Arabidopsis thaliana: one gene and its partners. The protein of the gene in region 2 interacts with the protein of the main gene of each other region in a biochemical or structural test. Each region holds a gene or a part of one and is shown on either strand. Other genes may lie near its edges. The genes, in order: BIK1, RBOHD and BAK1.

The links.
Region 1: the proteins of RBOHD (region 2) and BIK1 form a complex in vitro, tested with the Arabidopsis thaliana proteins (one study listed by BioGRID).
Region 3: the proteins of RBOHD (region 2) and BAK1 form a complex in vitro, tested with the Arabidopsis thaliana proteins (one study listed by BioGRID).

The regions. Positions count from the first base shown.
Region 1 is NC_003071.7:16,529,937-16,534,609, forward strand, and holds BIK1 (botrytis-induced kinase1), read left to right. Parts: upstream 1-1,590; 5' UTR 1,591-2,006; coding exon 2,007-2,055; intron 2,056-2,176; coding exon 2,177-2,484; intron 2,485-2,576; coding exon 2,577-2,712; intron 2,713-2,795; coding exon 2,796-2,938; intron 2,939-3,017; coding exon 3,018-3,141; intron 3,142-3,237; coding exon 3,238-3,665; 3' UTR 3,666-4,050; downstream 4,051-4,673. Other genes in the region: AT2G39670 (Radical SAM superfamily protein), read left to right, coding at 4,367-4,604.
Region 2 is NC_003076.8:19,395,317-19,402,641, forward strand, and holds RBOHD (respiratory burst oxidase homologue D), read left to right. Parts: upstream 1-1,724; 5' UTR 1,725-2,268; coding exon 2,269-2,896; intron 2,897-2,988; coding exon 2,989-3,151; intron 3,152-3,344; coding exon 3,345-3,393; intron 3,394-3,738; coding exon 3,739-3,852; intron 3,853-4,293; coding exon 4,294-5,103; intron 5,104-5,201; coding exon 5,202-5,297; intron 5,298-5,444; coding exon 5,445-6,240; intron 6,241-6,342; coding exon 6,343-6,452; 3' UTR 6,453-6,745; downstream 6,746-7,325. UniProt on the Arabidopsis thaliana protein: Calcium-dependent NADPH oxidase that generates superoxide.
Region 3 is NC_003075.7:16,085,796-16,092,859, forward strand, and holds BAK1 (BRI1-associated receptor kinase), read right to left. Parts: upstream 4,983-7,064; 5' UTR 4,494-4,982; coding exon 4,409-4,493; intron 4,140-4,408; coding exon 4,007-4,139; intron 3,925-4,006; coding exon 3,853-3,924; intron 3,684-3,852; coding exon 3,540-3,683; intron 3,413-3,539; coding exon 3,272-3,412; intron 2,821-3,271; coding exon 2,749-2,820; intron 2,643-2,748; coding exon 2,571-2,642; intron 2,496-2,570; coding exon 2,419-2,495; intron 2,307-2,418; coding exon 2,175-2,306; intron 2,098-2,174; coding exon 1,756-2,097; intron 1,659-1,755; coding exon 1,264-1,658; intron 1,183-1,263; coding exon 859-1,182; 3' UTR 516-858; downstream 1-515. Other genes in the region: AT4G33420 (Peroxidase superfamily protein), read left to right, coding at 1-310; AT4G33440 (Pectin lyase-like superfamily protein), read left to right, coding at 6,225-6,647.

The DNA of each region.
Region 1 (4,673 bases), on a different chromosome or scaffold from region 2:
CTATAACACCTTGTTGATTGATTAATAGATTACCTAAAGACATTATGGTTTATTACTGGTCTTTCAATATATTTTTATCGCATTGTCAATGATATTGTTTTTGTATCCCAAGTCCACTGTTTTGGTCTCTACATTCATTTTGATTGGGATTTATCTTTTTAAAATTTCTTCTAATGTTTTTTCGATATGGTTATTACTTGCTTTGATTTTCTTTTCAGTATGTGTATTGCTTTGCAAATTGTTTTTTTCTTAAGATGAAAAACAACTCATTAAATTGTTTGAGAAATACTACTAAAACAAATAAACAATGAGGAGAATTATGGAAAACAAAGTGTAATAGGCTTTAATTCATTGCTAGTGGGCTTTTTGGGCCTATGGGCATATTACTTACCACTATCCAACCCAAAATGCCAAATAACCGACATGTCTCACACAATCCAATTTTGGGCCATACGGCCGAAATTATTTAAACCTGTGCTCATAATTTACTTTACAAATTATTACTTTTCCATAAATTGTGGAAAAGTTATCTGTAACATCCGATTCAACTGGAGTCTAGACTACTATAGACATTGATACGTTTTGAGTTTTTAGATACTTGGAAGATATATGCATTTATGAATACAGATTACAGACACATACTAGTACTACTGTATGTCTGTATATGGATACAAAAAAAATCATGTATGAATACTAAAATTTTATTAGAAATCTATTTTTCAATTGTTGCAACAATCAAGTTGTCAAATTTATTTTTGTAACCGTTAAACAAACAAATATCGATTTAGGTTTCTAATCTGAATTGACATCTCAAACAAAAAAGGCTGAATACTTTCTGAAAATAGTGTATGGAATGAAGGTGGCTTTTAGAGCCATTATAACCGGAAGAAAATTCAGGTGACTTTTAGAACCATTATAACCGGAAGAAAAGGTGAATTTTAATTTTTAGCTGTGTGGAAGACACGGCAAGTCCAAGTAGTACCTTCGTACGTCAATATTGTCCAACCGGCCGTGTCGAAAATCTTCTTGAGAAAAATTGGATTTTCATCTATAAAAAAAAAAAGTCCAAGTAATACCAAACAAAGACAGCGACGTGTAAAACAATACAAGACTCATAATCACAAACCTACCACCCAAGTCAAACCTATATTCCATTTAGTGAATTCTTGATTATGACTTCTTGAAATCATTTGTATTCATATGTATAATTATTTAAGTCATTTTTCTGTAAGTAAAATTTTTATATATCTAGAATAACGAGTTCCCTACGACAAGATACAGTTGAACGTAAATGTGACATCTCAATTTTCATTGGTGTCTAGTACTCTAGTGATTAGGTTTTCGACATTTATTGTACTGATTAAGTAAAAATTCATGGTACAAACATCGAATATATATTTTTCTGCTTACACACACCAATTAACGTGGATAGACCAATTGAAATATTTTGTTACGACAAAGCAAAACAAAACAAACGTCATGTTTCGCTGTTTGTTTGTCGTCCCGTTAATGGTAATCTTTCAGACACATACAGTACCCAAACAAGTAATTTGACTAAAATTTTCTCTCTGTCTAAATTTCAGAAGAAAAAAAAACTTTAGGATATATTGCCAAAAGATCTTAAAAATGGGTCATATCATTTTGATCATATAGAATCCAACGACCTTTATCTTTTCGCCGAACTATACTTTTTTGTGTCCATTTGTTTGACTTTCTTTCACACACACATCCACAAAGAAAAAAGGACCATTCTTCTCCTTCTTCTAGTCACCCCTCGTGCCTCTCTTTAACACCAAACCCAAAACTCCCTTCTCTTTCTTCCTTCCTCTCCGATCTCCGTTCACATCTCTCTCTCATCTTTATCTTCTTCTTTTTTTGCCTTGTGGGTTGAAAGTTTCTATATTTTCTCTTTCTCTTCTGTTTACATAATCCATTTTCAGCTCAAGCAGCTGAAGAATAACGATCAAGAACCAAAAAAGAAGAAAACGAATCTGTTCTTAGCTTTGATGGGTTCTTGCTTCAGTTCTCGAGTCAAAGCAGACATCTTCCACAATGGTACCATCTCTCTCCAACTATCAATTTTCTTGCAATCTGGAATTATGCATCTCTCTGTTTTTAATTCATGGAGATTTCCGATTTTGATTATTGTAAATGGTCAACATGTGTGTCTGTGTAGGTAAGAGCAGCGATCTTTATGGTCTAAGTCTCTCAAGTCGGAAATCGTCTTCGACTGTAGCGGCGGCTCAGAAGACGGAAGGGGAGATATTGAGTTCGACCCCTGTCAAAAGCTTCACCTTTAACGAACTCAAACTCGCCACAAGAAACTTCAGACCAGATAGTGTGATCGGAGAAGGTGGCTTTGGTTGTGTCTTTAAAGGCTGGTTAGATGAGTCCACTCTCACTCCGACTAAACCTGGAACCGGTTTGGTCATCGCCGTTAAAAAGCTTAACCAAGAAGGTTTTCAAGGTCACCGTGAATGGCTGGTACTGTGTTTTCATTTCCCCAAACTTAAGAGTCATGTGTTATATATGTGTGAATGCGTGTCTGATCTGTTGTGTTGTGTTGTGCTATTCAGACAGAGATCAATTACTTGGGGCAACTGAGTCACCCAAATCTAGTTAAACTGATCGGTTATTGCTTAGAAGATGAACACCGTCTTCTAGTCTACGAGTTTATGCAAAAAGGAAGTCTTGAGAATCATCTATTCAGAAGTGAGTCCCATGGATCATCTTTATCTTTGATTAAATCTGTTTTCTTTTGTTTTTGGTTCTGATGGAAAATGGTTTTAATATAGGAGGTGCATATTTTAAGCCACTCCCATGGTTTCTACGGGTCAATGTTGCGCTTGATGCAGCAAAGGGGCTTGCTTTTCTTCACAGCGATCCCGTCAAAGTGATATACCGAGACATTAAAGCCTCGAACATCTTACTTGATGCGGTATGTAGAGAAATATACACATTCAAAGAATTAGATGTCTTCATAGTACTTTCCTGATGACTTTGATTCCCTTAAACAGGACTACAACGCAAAACTTTCTGACTTTGGACTAGCTAGAGACGGTCCAATGGGTGATTTGAGTTATGTTAGTACAAGGGTCATGGGTACTTATGGGTACGCCGCGCCTGAGTACATGTCATCAGGTAAAAATCTATCACCTTAAATATGAATTATGACTAGGTTGATCAAATGTTTTAGAGCATAAGGATAATTGTTTTTAAATCCTCGTATCATTTCAGGTCACTTGAATGCAAGAAGCGATGTGTACAGTTTCGGAGTTTTGCTTCTAGAGATTTTATCTGGTAAGCGAGCGTTGGATCATAACAGACCGGCTAAAGAAGAAAACCTTGTGGATTGGGCTCGACCGTACCTCACAAGCAAACGTAAGGTTCTCCTAATCGTGGACAATCGGCTAGACACACAGTACCTACCTGAAGAAGCCGTGAGAATGGCAAGCGTGGCGGTGCAGTGTCTCTCATTTGAACCCAAGTCGCGCCCGACCATGGACCAAGTGGTCCGTGCCTTACAACAACTTCAGGACAACTTGGGAAAACCGAGTCAGACCAATCCGGTTAAGGATACCAAGAAACTTGGTTTTAAAACTGGTACTACTAAGTCATCCGAAAAACGGTTTACACAAAAACCTTTTGGCAGGCACCTTGTGTAGGTCAAGTTGATAACTGAATTCCAGGATGGACATTTTTCCGGCGGTTTACTTGAAACTGCCGATATCCGTTTTCGACGGATTGAATGCGGTTCTGGACAAACCGTGCAGGTCAAGACTAATAAAGGATACATTAAATTTTCCGGTTACATGTCCCATACCCAACCTTAGAGAACATGTGTAGCCTTTAGCTTAGGCTTCCTTGTGTGCTGTTATATTGAGTATATATGAGGTAATTTTTGCCTCTTGTGTTGTAACACTTGTATTTTTGTTCCTTTAACATTTGATGTAGAGATTTTTCCTATATCTTCAGTTTTGAAACCCAAATTTATTGCAAGTCAAAATATGAAAATTCTAATCAATGTGCAATGAATAACACAAATCCGAATTGTGCTTTGTTGGCTGCAGACCTGCAGTTAACACAAATCTTATAAATTTGAAATGTCGTTCAAACTCCAAACCACAAAAAGGGGAAGCAAAACGCAACCGTTTCACGATTTTTGTCTAGTTTGGTCCAATTTCTCAATTACGGTTTTGTGAAATGCGTGTCGGTCTTTGGTTCTGCATTCGAACTGTGTGGCGTTTTGTGTAACTTATCCACTTAGTGAGCAAAACTACTCGACTCGTAGTAGTTGCAGAGAGGTTTTAGCCGCAGAAGAAAAGGGTTTACTCTGTCTTCTTCAGACTTCTCAGTGATCGAAGCTATGATGACGACAACAACCAATACTATGGCTATGCTTCAAAACCTCGTCTTCTCTGTTCCAATCTCTCGTATGGTAGTTCGGCGTCACTCCCTCGCTACCACCTTCTCCGCTGCCGCCACAACCGTCGTACCGTCTCCTAAACCGGTATCAGCCAAACCGGCGCGTACTCCACACGTGGACTCACATGTTCTCATCGGAATGTCAGAGCCTGAGCTTCAAGAGCTTGCTATCAACCTCGGTCAAGTAAAGATCTGATTTTTGCATATAAGATTCGAGAAGAAGGAATTTGGTTGATTAAGCTGAGAAA
Region 2 (7,325 bases):
TCATATCCATTATAATCATCTTTAGCAATACTATTTTATTTTTAACTACGAAAAATAAACCTTGTTACGCCGTTATTAACAGTGATCATTTTTTTCGTTAAAGAAATTTAACATTCAAAAAAGATAAAGAATGATCACCAATAAGCGTCATGATCTTCCGTATGGTGATGATAAACATCGTTTGCAGTTTTGTTGTATAGTACAACGTATATGTAGCCGTAACGTGTGAATAGTGTATGGTTAGGGTCATTTTATTTGTGAACTACCACAATTTTGATAGCAGTGGAGATAAGTCAAAGGTTCGTCTTCTAATTAATTAACAGCGATTATTAGACTATCTAACTTTTCTTCTTTTCTTATTTTGATAATAACTATATATCTTCTTTAGCCACCTTACTTTCTCATCGGGTTCTATTTAAATAGGGACAAAGAAAACAAACCATCGATTTGTACTATGTGCTCAATTATATCATATGTTTTGTCTCCATCTATGTATCTATTTCTCTTTTCCATTTGGTAAATTATTTAAGACCCTTAAACTGACTTTTCTCGTGGGCGGCGTCGAAGTTTTGGTTAACAGACAAAACATCTGTTCATGATGCCTGCATAACTCTATGTTTTTATACTACTCATTTGCCCTCTATTTCATGCTACTCTTAAAAATAGCTAAATAAAAATACTTCAATATTAGAAAAAAAATCTTCTTGATGTCAAAAATACACTTTAGATATCCCCTCTAGTTCTTGTGATGCTAATATATTACAAAATTGTTTATATATATAGAAATATTACCTCTAGCAATACAAAAATCTTGTTATATCAATTAAATATAACACTATCCGACTAGTGTTTACTAAAATAACACATAATTTTTAATTATGATCTTTGAATTTTAGTTTATGTATTACGCTTTATAATTTTGTTATCAAAAACTATAAAAGCTCAAAAGTGAGCATCTATACCCTAATTCCGTTTTTATGCATACACTTAGGTTTATTTTTATTACGAGAATCTGTGTTTAGTATATATAAAATAGAGTTTATGAATGACTAAGTTAAATACTTCAATACTAATTAAAGTAAGTCGTATTGATGCAGACAATATAAACTTTAGATATCTCCGCTAGTTTGTATAATGCTAATAGATTCAAATTGTCTTTATGTAGAGGAATTACCTCAAATAACATAAAATTTTCATTTTATTAATTAAATCTCATTTTGTCATTTCAAAAGTCATTTTAATTACTGTGTTATTTGTCTAAAGTATACTCCAAACAAGAAACCAAAGTAGAAGGTCAGTGCCCAAGAGACAAATAAACTTAAGCATGTCCACTCTTTTTAGCGATCGGATCGCTTATCTGTTCTTATCCATTATGGAACATGAACGATGTTCCTTTAAGACTACCACATTCAAACGAAAAATAAGTCATCGATGATAGACTGGATAGTTATAGTTTGATGATCTAGCTAATTGACTTTCATATTTACATAAAACAGAAATGTGTTTTTATCAAAAAAGAAAAAAGAAAAAACAGAAAATGAACAATACATCTCACATGGAGTTTGTACAAGAATCCATAATAATTTTTTGTTCGGTACAGTAGGTTAGATATACATTTGAATACAGTTTACAAGCCAAATGTTAGAAGCAACATATTTATATAGTATCATCAATATACGATCCAAAATGAATTATAGATTGACTTATGGAAAAGTTAGATACTATATGCATGATTGCCAAATACATTGAAAAATAACAATTTAAGTTCTTCAAACAAAAGTTTATAAATGACTCGGTGTTTGACATAACTCGGGGTTGTTTTTCTTTGTTAATTCACACACGGGGTTGGTGTATAAATGACTTCGGTGTTTGAAATGTATGACACGGTATAAATAAAAAAGGTAAGGAAGAAATGAAGAATAGAAGAAGAACAAAAAAAAAAGGAAATTAAAAAAAAGTCAAAATAAATGGTCAGTAAAGGATTTTGACCAGACCGGAGCGGTCCATCCATAGTTTCCCACTACCTTCCCTGATTTAGCACAGAAGAATGGCAATTTGCATGCCATTTATTTCATCTATTCCTCCTTCACTCTATAAATATATTTTAAACAAAATCAATTTCTTCCATACACAAAAATCAAACACCTTTTGAGAGCGGTTATTTTTTCTCTATCAACTAATACAGTAACCTTACGGGTGTTTATTTGTATAGATCTCTGTGGTTTTCTTGGCCAAATCTAGTGAGATCTTTTTGGTTTCTCGAATTCGATGAAAATGAGACGAGGCAATTCAAGTAACGACCATGAACTTGGGATTCTACGAGGAGCTAACTCGGACACCAACTCGGACACGGAGAGCATCGCTAGCGACCGTGGTGCCTTTAGCGGTCCGCTTGGCCGGCCTAAACGTGCGTCCAAGAAAAACGCAAGATTCGCCGACGATCTTCCCAAGAGAAGCAATAGTGTTGCTGGCGGCCGTGGTGATGACGATGAGTACGTGGAGATCACGCTAGACATCAGGGACGACTCGGTGGCCGTCCATAGTGTCCAACAAGCAGCTGGAGGTGGAGGCCACCTGGAGGACCCGGAGCTAGCCCTTCTTACGAAGAAGACTCTCGAGAGCAGCCTCAACAACACCACCTCCTTATCTTTCTTCCGAAGCACCTCCTCACGCATCAAGAACGCCTCCCGCGAGCTCCGCCGCGTGTTCTCTAGACGTCCCTCCCCGGCCGTGCGGCGGTTTGACCGCACGAGCTCCGCGGCCATCCACGCACTCAAAGGTCTCAAGTTCATTGCCACCAAGACGGCCGCATGGCCGGCCGTCGACCAACGTTTCGATAAACTCTCCGCTGATTCCAACGGCCTCTTACTCTCTGCCAAGTTTTGGGAATGCTTAGGTAAGTAAATCACTTCTTACTAAGCAATTCTATTAGTACTATATGTTTCCATTTTTGTGTTAGTCTCATTTTTGTTTTGTTTTTTACTCTAGGAATGAATAAGGAATCTAAAGACTTCGCTGACCAGCTCTTTAGAGCATTAGCTCGCCGGAATAACGTCTCCGGCGATGCAATCACAAAGGAACAGCTTAGGATATTCTGGGAACAGATCTCAGACGAAAGCTTTGATGCCAAACTCCAAGTCTTTTTTGACATGTAAGCTTTTTTTTACATATCTTCACCTAACCCACAATAAATATATAACGCGTAATCACTATTTGTCGTTTAATATTGACTCTTAATGAAAATTAAACGGTCATCAGAATTTAAGGACCAAAAGTAGTAATATTAATCATTTGTGGAGTTTTGGTGGATTTGTAACTAATATATGACATCACTGTTTGGTCAGGGTGGACAAAGATGAAGATGGGCGAGTAACAGAAGAAGAGGTGGCTGAGGTGAGAAAACACACACACCACTCAATAATTATCTTTTTCAAATATTTTATTATATTTATACATTTTTTTTATCTTATATTTATTCATATTCCTGGTTGAATTTTTTTTCTCTTATTTTATACGTTATTCTTGGTTGATTATTTTGACAATTTTGTCCACGCGCAAATCCCCACTGACTTTATCTGCTGACGTTTACTATTAACATCATCAATATATTAACTTCATGTGAACACGACAAAATGGTAATAGATAGATAGAGTAGTAGTCTTTGTTACTTTAGCTTAGGTTATTAATGTTTCAAATACTTTAGCTTTTGTTTTCTAATTTGTTGGTAATTTATTGCAGATTATTAGTCTTAGTGCTTCTGCAAACAAGCTCTCAAATATTCAAAAGCAAGCCAAAGAATATGCGGCACTGATAATGGAAGAGTTGGACCCAGACAATGCTGGGTTTATTATGGTACGTGTGGTCCACTTTCACCCACTCAATCACACTAATGGTATTATGTACGTCGTAAATTTAACCACTCTTAAAATACTAGAAAAAACGTGGAAAAACATAACGTTCTAGAAGTCTTTAGTGGTCAAAATTGGGTCACCATGATGTTTTTTAATTTCCAACTTATTGGGCCATCTTGAACTTTTTACCAAACCAATCAACAAAATCTCGACAATGGGTGGTTAGTGGTTACGATATGAAGAAATGACCAATAAAATTGTAAAATATATGAACTAACACTATAATCCAAGCTTAGAAAGTCTTAGGCGGCTTCCGATAGTATATTGTTTTTTAATTATTGGAGAAACCTATGAAAAGTGTTTTTAAGAAAAACAGTTTGGAACATTAATGTTTTATTGTAACGTTTTAGTTAATTATATGATATGGACATTGGTGAAACAGATCGAAAACTTGGAAATGTTGCTATTACAAGCACCAAACCAGTCGGTGCGGATGGGAGACAGCAGGATACTTAGTCAGATGTTAAGTCAGAAGCTTAGACCGGCAAAAGAGAGCAACCCTTTAGTGAGATGGTCGGAGAAAATCAAATATTTCATACTTGACAATTGGCAGAGACTATGGATAATGATGTTATGGCTTGGCATCTGTGGTGGCCTCTTTACTTATAAATTCATTCAGTACAAGAACAAAGCTGCCTATGGTGTCATGGGTTATTGCGTTTGTGTCGCCAAAGGAGGCGCCGAGACTCTCAAATTCAACATGGCTCTCATATTGTTGCCTGTTTGTCGAAACACCATCACTTGGCTTAGGAACAAGACTAAGCTTGGTACTGTCGTTCCTTTTGATGATAGTCTTAACTTCCACAAGGTTATTGCAAGCGGGATAGTCGTCGGTGTTTTACTCCATGCGGGTGCCCATTTAACGTGTGATTTTCCACGTTTAATTGCCGCGGATGAGGACACCTATGAGCCGATGGAAAAATACTTTGGGGATCAACCGACTAGCTACTGGTGGTTTGTGAAAGGAGTGGAAGGATGGACTGGCATTGTGATGGTTGTGCTAATGGCTATAGCCTTTACACTCGCGACGCCTTGGTTCCGACGTAACAAGCTTAACTTACCTAACTTCCTCAAGAAGCTTACCGGTTTCAACGCCTTTTGGTACACCCACCATTTGTTCATCATTGTTTATGCTCTTCTCATTGTCCATGGTATCAAGCTCTACCTCACAAAGATTTGGTATCAGAAAACGGTACTCTCTTCAAACCTCATTTTATCTGTTTTAATTTCTTATTTTCTTTCCTTTTTCCGGTTAATAACATTTATTACCTGTTTGTATGATTCTTGTAGACATGGATGTATCTTGCTGTACCCATCCTTCTATATGCATCGGAGAGGCTGCTCCGTGCTTTCAGATCAAGCATCAAACCGGTTAAGATGATCAAGGTCAGATATATTTCTATTTATCTCTTGAAAACCTTATGTTTCAAGAAATATTTCAACTAATACTTTTAAACCATCTTATTTTATAGTTCTTTTTGATAAAAGTTTGAAAATTGCCTTTGAACTTAATCTATATATATGTAACAACAGGTGGCTGTTTACCCCGGGAACGTGTTGTCTCTACACATGACGAAGCCACAAGGATTCAAATACAAAAGTGGACAGTTCATGTTGGTGAACTGCCGAGCCGTATCTCCATTCGAATGGCATCCTTTCTCAATCACATCAGCTCCCGGAGACGATTACCTGAGCGTACATATCCGCACTCTCGGTGACTGGACACGTAAGCTCAGGACCGTTTTCTCCGAGGTTTGCAAACCTCCTACCGCCGGTAAAAGCGGTCTTCTCCGAGCAGACGGAGGAGATGGAAACCTCCCGTTCCCGAAGGTCCTTATCGACGGTCCATACGGTGCTCCCGCACAAGACTACAAGAAATACGACGTGGTACTCCTCGTAGGTCTCGGCATTGGAGCCACGCCTATGATCAGTATCCTTAAGGACATCATCAACAACATGAAAGGTCCTGACCGCGACAGCGACATTGAGAACAATAACAGTAACAACAATAGTAAAGGGTTTAAGACAAGGAAAGCTTATTTCTACTGGGTGACTAGGGAACAAGGATCATTCGAGTGGTTCAAGGGAATAATGGACGAGATTTCGGAGTTAGACGAGGAAGGAATCATCGAGCTTCACAATTATTGCACGAGTGTGTACGAGGAAGGTGATGCAAGAGTGGCTCTCATTGCCATGCTTCAGTCGTTGCAACACGCTAAGAACGGTGTGGATGTTGTGTCGGGTACACGTGTCAAGTCCCACTTCGCTAAACCTAACTGGAGACAAGTCTACAAGAAGATCGCTGTTCAACATCCCGGCAAAAGAATAGGTAACTAATCTCGACCGTTAATCTCGTTATGTACGTGATGTTGTATAATAATTAATAAAGTGATGAATTTAGACTAAATACTAATATGAATTTTGATTGCAGGAGTCTTCTACTGTGGAATGCCAGGAATGATAAAGGAATTAAAAAATCTAGCTTTGGATTTTTCTCGAAAGACAACTACCAAGTTTGACTTCCACAAAGAGAACTTCTAGATTAATTATATACGTTGTAGAAAAATAAAACAAGAAACAACTATACAAATAAATATTTATTTTAAATTCTTTTCATTTTTATGTAAAATTATCTGAGTTATCTTTTTTTGTTCTTCTATATCCCTACCGTTTTGTTGGTTACTTTTTCACTACTTAGTTTAATGCCAAATTAAGTATAAGATAGTAGAAGTTTATATAGTTACAGCTTTGGTGTTGTAAACATGTAATCATGGAGTTATCTGTACTATTATTTTGTACTTATATTCGAATATTAACAACTAAAGATAGTTTTGATATTCAATACCCATTACTCATTTAACATAATGAATAGAGATATCAACATTAGATACGTCTTGATTATTTGCTCACCAATGCATTTGCGTGTTTAACTTGTTTATATGTTATTAATAGTGTTCTTTTAGTTAAAATGACAAATAATTTCTTAACTCAAAAGCATCTTATATCACAACTCTAGCTAGATTAGTTTAGCTTTTCATAAGTCTTCTTGCGTTTACGTCTTTATTTATGGGTTGATACCCTATTCACTACTTTAATTTGCCTTGCACTTGGGATAGTTTAAAAGACTTTAAAATTATGCAGCTAGAATATAATCAAAACTTGATATAAGTATCAAAATAATTAAATACAATTGCTATCGATAATAATCAGAAACAATCGTTATGAATGGTTAAGTTTGTTTCCTTAAAATGGTTACGAATGATTAATTTTGTTCCTTAGGTAAACTAAAAGTTCAAAAACAAATCCAACCTACTACAATCTAAGAAAACTGACAAAGTTTATGGTTGATTACAGAATAGGTCGCTTGAGCGTCAAATTAAGATAAAGAAGGAGACTTATGTAGAGCCGGCCCTT
Region 3 (7,064 bases), on a different chromosome or scaffold from region 2:
AGACTCGACTTTTGCAAACACTCTCTCTAAAACATGCAGCGCGGGTGACAATGCAGAGCAACCCTTTGATGCTACGCGCAACGATTTCGACAATGCTTACTTCAATGCGCTTCAGATGAAATCAGGAGTCCTCTTTTCAGACCAAACTTTATTCAACACACCAAGGACCAGGAATCTTGTTAACGGCTATGCACTTAACCAAGCCAAGTTCTTCTTTGATTTCCAACAGGCCATGCGCAAGATGAGCAATCTTGATGTTAAACTTGGCTCTCAAGGTGAAGTCCGTCAAAATTGTCGGAGTATTAATTAGGCTAGACCACATCTACTTACGATTTTTGTATTTATAATAAGTTCTCTACTCTTGTTATATGAAGAATCATGAATCTTCTAGGCTACTATGTAAAAATTGTGTACTCTCGTAATATGCAGTTGTATACTTATTGCTTGTGTGGTTCAGATATCCATCAAAAAGTAATATACTTTGGTTGCATTTTCTTGTCCAATTGCTATTTAAAGGCAAAAGTCTCCTTTTCTTCTGAACAATCTCCGGATCTAGAAATCACATGATAACACAGAAACCGGTAAGAAAAGAAACCTGACGCACGGTGAAAAAGAATAATTGATGGGATACATATTTGTGAATCAAGTGCGCAACAATCCTCAAGTGGTGAGCTTAAGACATGTTTGGGTTTTAGCTTTCAACAACATTCAAATCCTTTTTCATCATATAACACTTACAAACCCAATCTGATCCTCATGTATTCACTTAAGAACCAATAATATGGAGCAGCAGAAGCTAAAACCCTCAATAAATACAGAGAAAAACAAAATACAGAAAAAACATTCGTGTTTCGAATCTTATCTTGGACCCGAGGGGTATTCGTTTTCGATCTGGGAAGTGGAATCGCCAATGATCCAGCCAGACACGGCTGGATGGTGGGTTGGGTAGTTGAAATCTTGTCTGAACATTTCCTCCTTTTGCCACTCTTCCCATCTCTCAGCTAAACCATCTCCTTCAAGCATTCTTACAACTTCAGACATTTTGGGTCTTTCCATTGGTGAACTCTGAGTGCAGAGTAAAGCCACTTGGATTAGCTGCTCCACTTCTTCGTCTTTGTAATTACCCTGAAGATCAACATCTACTAGTGCTTCCAATTTCTTCTCTTTTAACAACCCTTTCACCTGTCGAAATGAATAATTAACACAAATAGAGGTAACACAGATAATGAACTATACAAGTGGGAAACTCATATATGTATATACCCAGTCTAGTAACATGACATCATCATCATTCGCGAGGCGAGCAAGATCAAAAGCCCTTTGTCCAGTGATAAGCTCAAGAAGCATGACTCCATACCCAAAGACATCGGTTTTCTCTGATGATTTTCCAGTGGAAAGGTACTCAGGGGCTATATGACCAATTGTCCCACGCACTGCGGTTGTCACATGTGTGTCTTTGTAGTCCATGAGTTTTGCAAGTCCAAAATCCCCAACCACGGCTTCAAACTCTTCATCCAACAAAATATTTGCAGCTTTCACATCTCGATGAATAATCTTTGGGTCGCAATGATCATGTAAATACGCAAGCCCTCTTGCAGATCCCAACGCAATACGCTGTCTCTTTGGCCAATCAAGTGGTGGCTGGGACTCGGGACGTTCTAAGGAGAAAATAAAATATAAGATTACTACGGATAAAAAGGCAACCATTGGACGGAAATATTGCAGTCAAAGAAAAAGGCACAAGATGAGAGATACCTCTTAAACAGGAGGCAACACTTCCATTAGCCATGTAGGGATAAACAAGCAATCTTTCGGTTGGAGTCATGCAAAATCCACGAAGCCGAAGCAAGTTTCTGTGAACCGCCATACTAATCATCTCAACCTCTGTCTGGAACTGCAGTTCGCCACCTTGGGTGCGCTCCTCTTTTAGCCTTTTAACGGCCACTAAAGTACCATCAGCTAACCGTCCTTTATAAACTTTACCAAAACCACCTCTACCCAATATGTTCTTGTTGCTAAAATTATCCGAAGCAACTTGTAGTTCACGCAATGAAAACCTCTTCAGTTGTCCTAAATGAACTTCTGGGTCCTCTTCAGCTGCAAAAAGACGGTAATAAAAAAAAATCAGCAAGAGAAGTGTTAATGAGGAAACAGGTAAAGCAAGTTTAGCTAACCTGGTACATCAAAGAAGTGGTCCTGCGGCTTTTTCCTTCGCCACCAAGCTAGTGCAATGGCCGGAACAGCAAATAGAAGTGCAGCACCTGCAGCAACTCCTCCCGCAATCGCTCCAGTAATTCTATTACTCCCTGCAAGAATGAAATGAACAATCTCTTTCTTAATACTTAATGGATCTGCTTAAAATGTTTACTTATTCAGTTGAATAACATTTCAAAGACAAAGACATATACAAAAAAAAACCTGCAGGTGATGGCGGTGTAGGAGAGATAGGAGGCGGTGGAGATGCAGGAAGGGGAGTCAACTTGGTGTTGGCAAAACTGCAAAATTTCAAATAATTAATCAAACATTCTGACCTCTCCACCAAGATTTAAACTAGGAGCAGGATGCAAAACCTGATTGGAGTGAAAAGTGAAAAGGAACCATTAACAGGAATATCTCCGGTGAGAGGATTGTTTGAGAGATCCCTGCATTATAAGATGATATCATTTTCTGACTTAATGCCAAGATCGGCCAAACAATAATCAGAAACATGAACACAGAGGAATTTGAGAGAGATAAAGTTACACTCACAGAACTTGTAGCGTCAGGACAGCAGTCAAAGACCTTGGAATTTCTCCAGATAAGCTATTGTTATTAAGACGCCTAACCACCAATACAAAAAGAGAATGTCATGAATAAGTGGAAATACATTAACCAGTAATGAGTTTATAGTGAGAGCAAAAATACAAACTTTAAAAGACTTTCAAAAGTAGGGGTTGTTCTAAAATCTCATCCAACAGATATGAAGCTGATTGAAAAATCAAGTATATTTTCCTAATTAGCGCGACTTACTACTTTAGATGCGTTCACCCTCTAGATTTACAGAGCACTCACAAATTAATAAGTAACAATAGGGTTTAGCGCTTAAATTCTAAGGCAGAAGAATATTGTTATCTTTGATAGAATTTCATTCTTCCAGAACCAAATCGATTTCATACAAAATAAGCGAGTCAATAACTACCATTGAAGATCACAAAGGTGACACACGAGAACAACCAAAAAGACAGTCACCTGAATTCGGAACTTTGTGTTGTTCCAGTAAAATTAAGCGAACACAAGGATAGAGTTCTGATTCCTTTTACGAAAGCTCATAATTAAAATAGACCATATTATACAACATCCTAGTCTCCAAGAGAACACCTTTTCATCTAGTAAAATAACGTAGCATCTATTTGGCGACACTACTTTCTGACTCCTACAAATGTAACACGTTGCACGAATAGCTTTTACAGGAAGACAAACACGATCAAGGAAACTAAAGACAATAATTAGGCTGCTTATTAAAAACGTATTAAAAGAAGAGAGTAGAATATGGTGCATACAAGAAACGGAGTTTCTTAAGTCGGCCGAGAGTTGATGGAATAGGCCCGCTTAAATTGTTCAAGTAAAGATCCAAGCTCACCAATTCCGTCAGATTTCCAAGCTGTTCTGGGATTGTCCCAGTAATGTTATTGCTATAAAGCTCCCTGTCATTACCATTCTTTAATATTAATTTCACCATAAGATCGGAAAGATATATAACTAATAATCTATGATAATGCAAAATTATGCAGTTATTTGGAACATTGTAACATTTTTAACATCCCACATACACCAAAAGTTAAAAGACGGCCTTTTAAAGAAAAGATGACTTACAAGTACTGCAAGTTTGGAAGCTGACCAAGTTGCATTACGAGCTGTCCAGATAGATTTGCATTCCCAAGGTCACTGAGCAAAAATGAAGTTCAAGTAAATTCTCAGTAGATGCGAAAATCCGAATCATCTTGGCTAGATATAGAAAGAAACTTACACACGTGTAACACTATTGTCGCTATTGCAAGTAACATGAAACCATGTACATGGAGTAACAAGAGTAGCATCCCAACTTTGAAGCACCTTATTAGGGTCGGCTAAACTGTTTTTCAGTGCACTTAGAGCATCACCTACAATTAACCAAAGAAGAAGAAAAAATCAAACTTTGCAATCATCAAGTGTCACGAGGATACATAATCACTGGAATCAGTCGAAACAGATGTAACCCAAATATAACTCAAGTCAATACAGCAAAACAAGTAACAGATAAGTTAAAAATGCCTTCTTTAGGTGAGAACAAGCTCTCATAAGCCTATACTAATCAAAATACTCAACAAGGGAAACTAATTTAATTGGAAAGAATGAAAAATTGAAAGAGAATGAGAGAGAAAGGGGAAACCTTCGGCGTTGCCCGAGACTCTGAGAACCAAATCCAAAACGAGAATCAACCAAAAGAAGCAAGGGATCATTAATCTTCGTTCCATTTTATCCTCAAGAGATTAAAAACAAACCCTAGAACTATCCCTCATCAGAGAAAATCCATCATTGTTAAAACCCCTGATAAAAGGGATCTCGAATCCTTCGATTAAGCTACCACCCACACAAGGTAATACCAAGATGATGAAATTAGAAGCAGAATACGAGAAAAGCCCTCTCAACGCGTATCCACCCGTTGACTTAATTTGAAGAGAAAATCAAAATACCCAAATCGATTAATCGCGGAAACCAAAAAAGCAAAAAAAAAAGAAACTGAAGCTAGACTTTTCCGATTAGAAGGAACGCCGAGATCGCTGACCGTTGACTACTTAATGCTGAGAAGAGAGAAAACTGAGATAGAGAAAACGAAAGGAGGAAGAAGATATTTCCTGGAAATATACTAAAAAAGGGTCGAAACAAAGAGAGATGAGAGAGAGGAGAGAAACCAAGTTATCGCCGAGAGCAAGGAAGGAAGACGAATTTTAATTATTTTCTTTGCTTAAAGAAGGGATTTTACTGGGTTGAGTTGTTGTACTGTGAAAACTATATTAAAAAAATGACATTTAAGATTGAGAAAACGACAAAGAGGATGATGACGTGGACGAGCATTTTCAAAGCTTTTTTAGAGCTAGTCAAAGTCAAAGACGCACGACTTCATTCCGAATCATGTTTGTTATGTTCGCCCACCTTATCATCATCCATCATATGACATTAGATATAAACCATGATGGTCATGAACTCATGATAGTTGATAGTGAGTTATATACCATCATCATAATCCTAATTACCGGCCCAGCTCTATTTTTTCGGGCTTTTATTGTTTATTGGGCTTGGTCTTAATAGCAAGTTCGTTTATTCCAAAGATGAGCAAAAGCTTTTTTGATTTTTTTATTCTTTTTTAAAGATTATAGCTCTAAAAAATTACAATTCAATATTGAAAAATGTAAGCTGAATAATCCATCTGGTCCAATGAATTAAACAAAACAAAAAACATTATTGTATCATATATAATTTACTGGTTGATAGTTTAACTATTTATGCCATTTAATATTTTTAAAAGAACAAAAGTAATTTTGAGGAAAAATGAAATAAAAAACAAAAAACACAAACGGACAGAGTATATGTTGCCAGCAATAAAATACGGACATATACCTTAGTTTGGCATTAAAAAACAAAACAAAAACACAACAAACAACTCAGTACAGTAGGCTATTTAAAGGCCCATCAGATTAAGACTTGGAAGTCTGACGAGATTGTAACGCCTCACAATCCTTCCTACCCGTGAGTCCGTGACCGATTGTGTATCATCCATCTTCTTTCTTCTTCTTTCTTCTTCTTTCTTCTTCTTTTATATATAAACCAAAATATAATTCGTGAAGACTTTCACTTTCTCCTTGCCACTTTTTGACGATTCACATGCACCATCCAATATTTTAGTGCCCTTTTCACGACATATCTGTGTCTGTATCCAATTTTCTTATTTACTACTACTTTTTTCTATTTATATATACAAAAATAATCAAAGAGAGAGACGAATTTTCGAGGTAAGGTATCTATCGACTTTCTATCTTCCTCCACCTTTGTTTGTTGTCACCACCACACTACGCTAATCATTGCCACACACATGCATAATTCTCTCCAACCATCTAAAAGTCCCACTTTAGCATTCTTCTGTTTGTAATTTTATCTCAGAGCTTGCTTCATGGGCTTTTGAGTTTTCTCTCTGTTTCCAAAAAACAATGGAACCGGAGAAGAATCCGACCACAGTATTGAGTGCCATTACAAGACCTTCGTGGGCGTTTCTTCTCCTTGTTTTCACCGTCTTAGCGATTCTCTCTCTCCAAATCTCTTCCAATTCTTTTCTCCCTCTCTGGATCCCGACTTCTCAATATGACGACCCTGTTACCTGCTCCGGGTTTTTCAATCACGACCCGTTCCCTAACCGGATCGTTATGTCGATTACCGATTTCGGCGGTGTTGGAGACGGAAAGACGTCGAACACGGCCGCTTTCCGCCGCGCCGTAAGGCACCTTGAAGGTTTTGCGGCGGAGGGTGGGGCCCAGCTCAATGTCCCGGAGGGCACGTGGCTTTCTGGAAGCTTCAACCTCACCAGCAATTTCACGCTCTTTCTCGAACGCGGCGCTCTCATTTTGGGATCCAAGGTTATATCAAAGTTTTGAATTCTTTAACACATTGATAAAGTTTACTTTTTTTTTGCTTTGTTTGTTGTTGATTGGTTCTGAACAGTAGTAGTATTAAGAGAATTCAATTAGTTGTTGATTGCTCTGTGAGAATCCAAAATTTGGGTTTGTGATTGCTTTTTGATTTGTGGGTTCATAAAGTTTTGTTGGTAAACACTATATTCATTTCGCTAATCACGGTCAGTGGTTAAAATGGACCCACCATTGTTTGATACAGCAAAAAAGCTGTTATTTTTGAGTGGGGATAGTCTCTAGTAGTGCGAAATCTGGATTTGCATATCAAAAGTCAGTGTTTTGCATGAATTTTGTATTAACACTTGTTAATTTCGGATTGACTTGTTCAATGAATGTTCTTGTGATGTCTCGATAGTAGCTGTA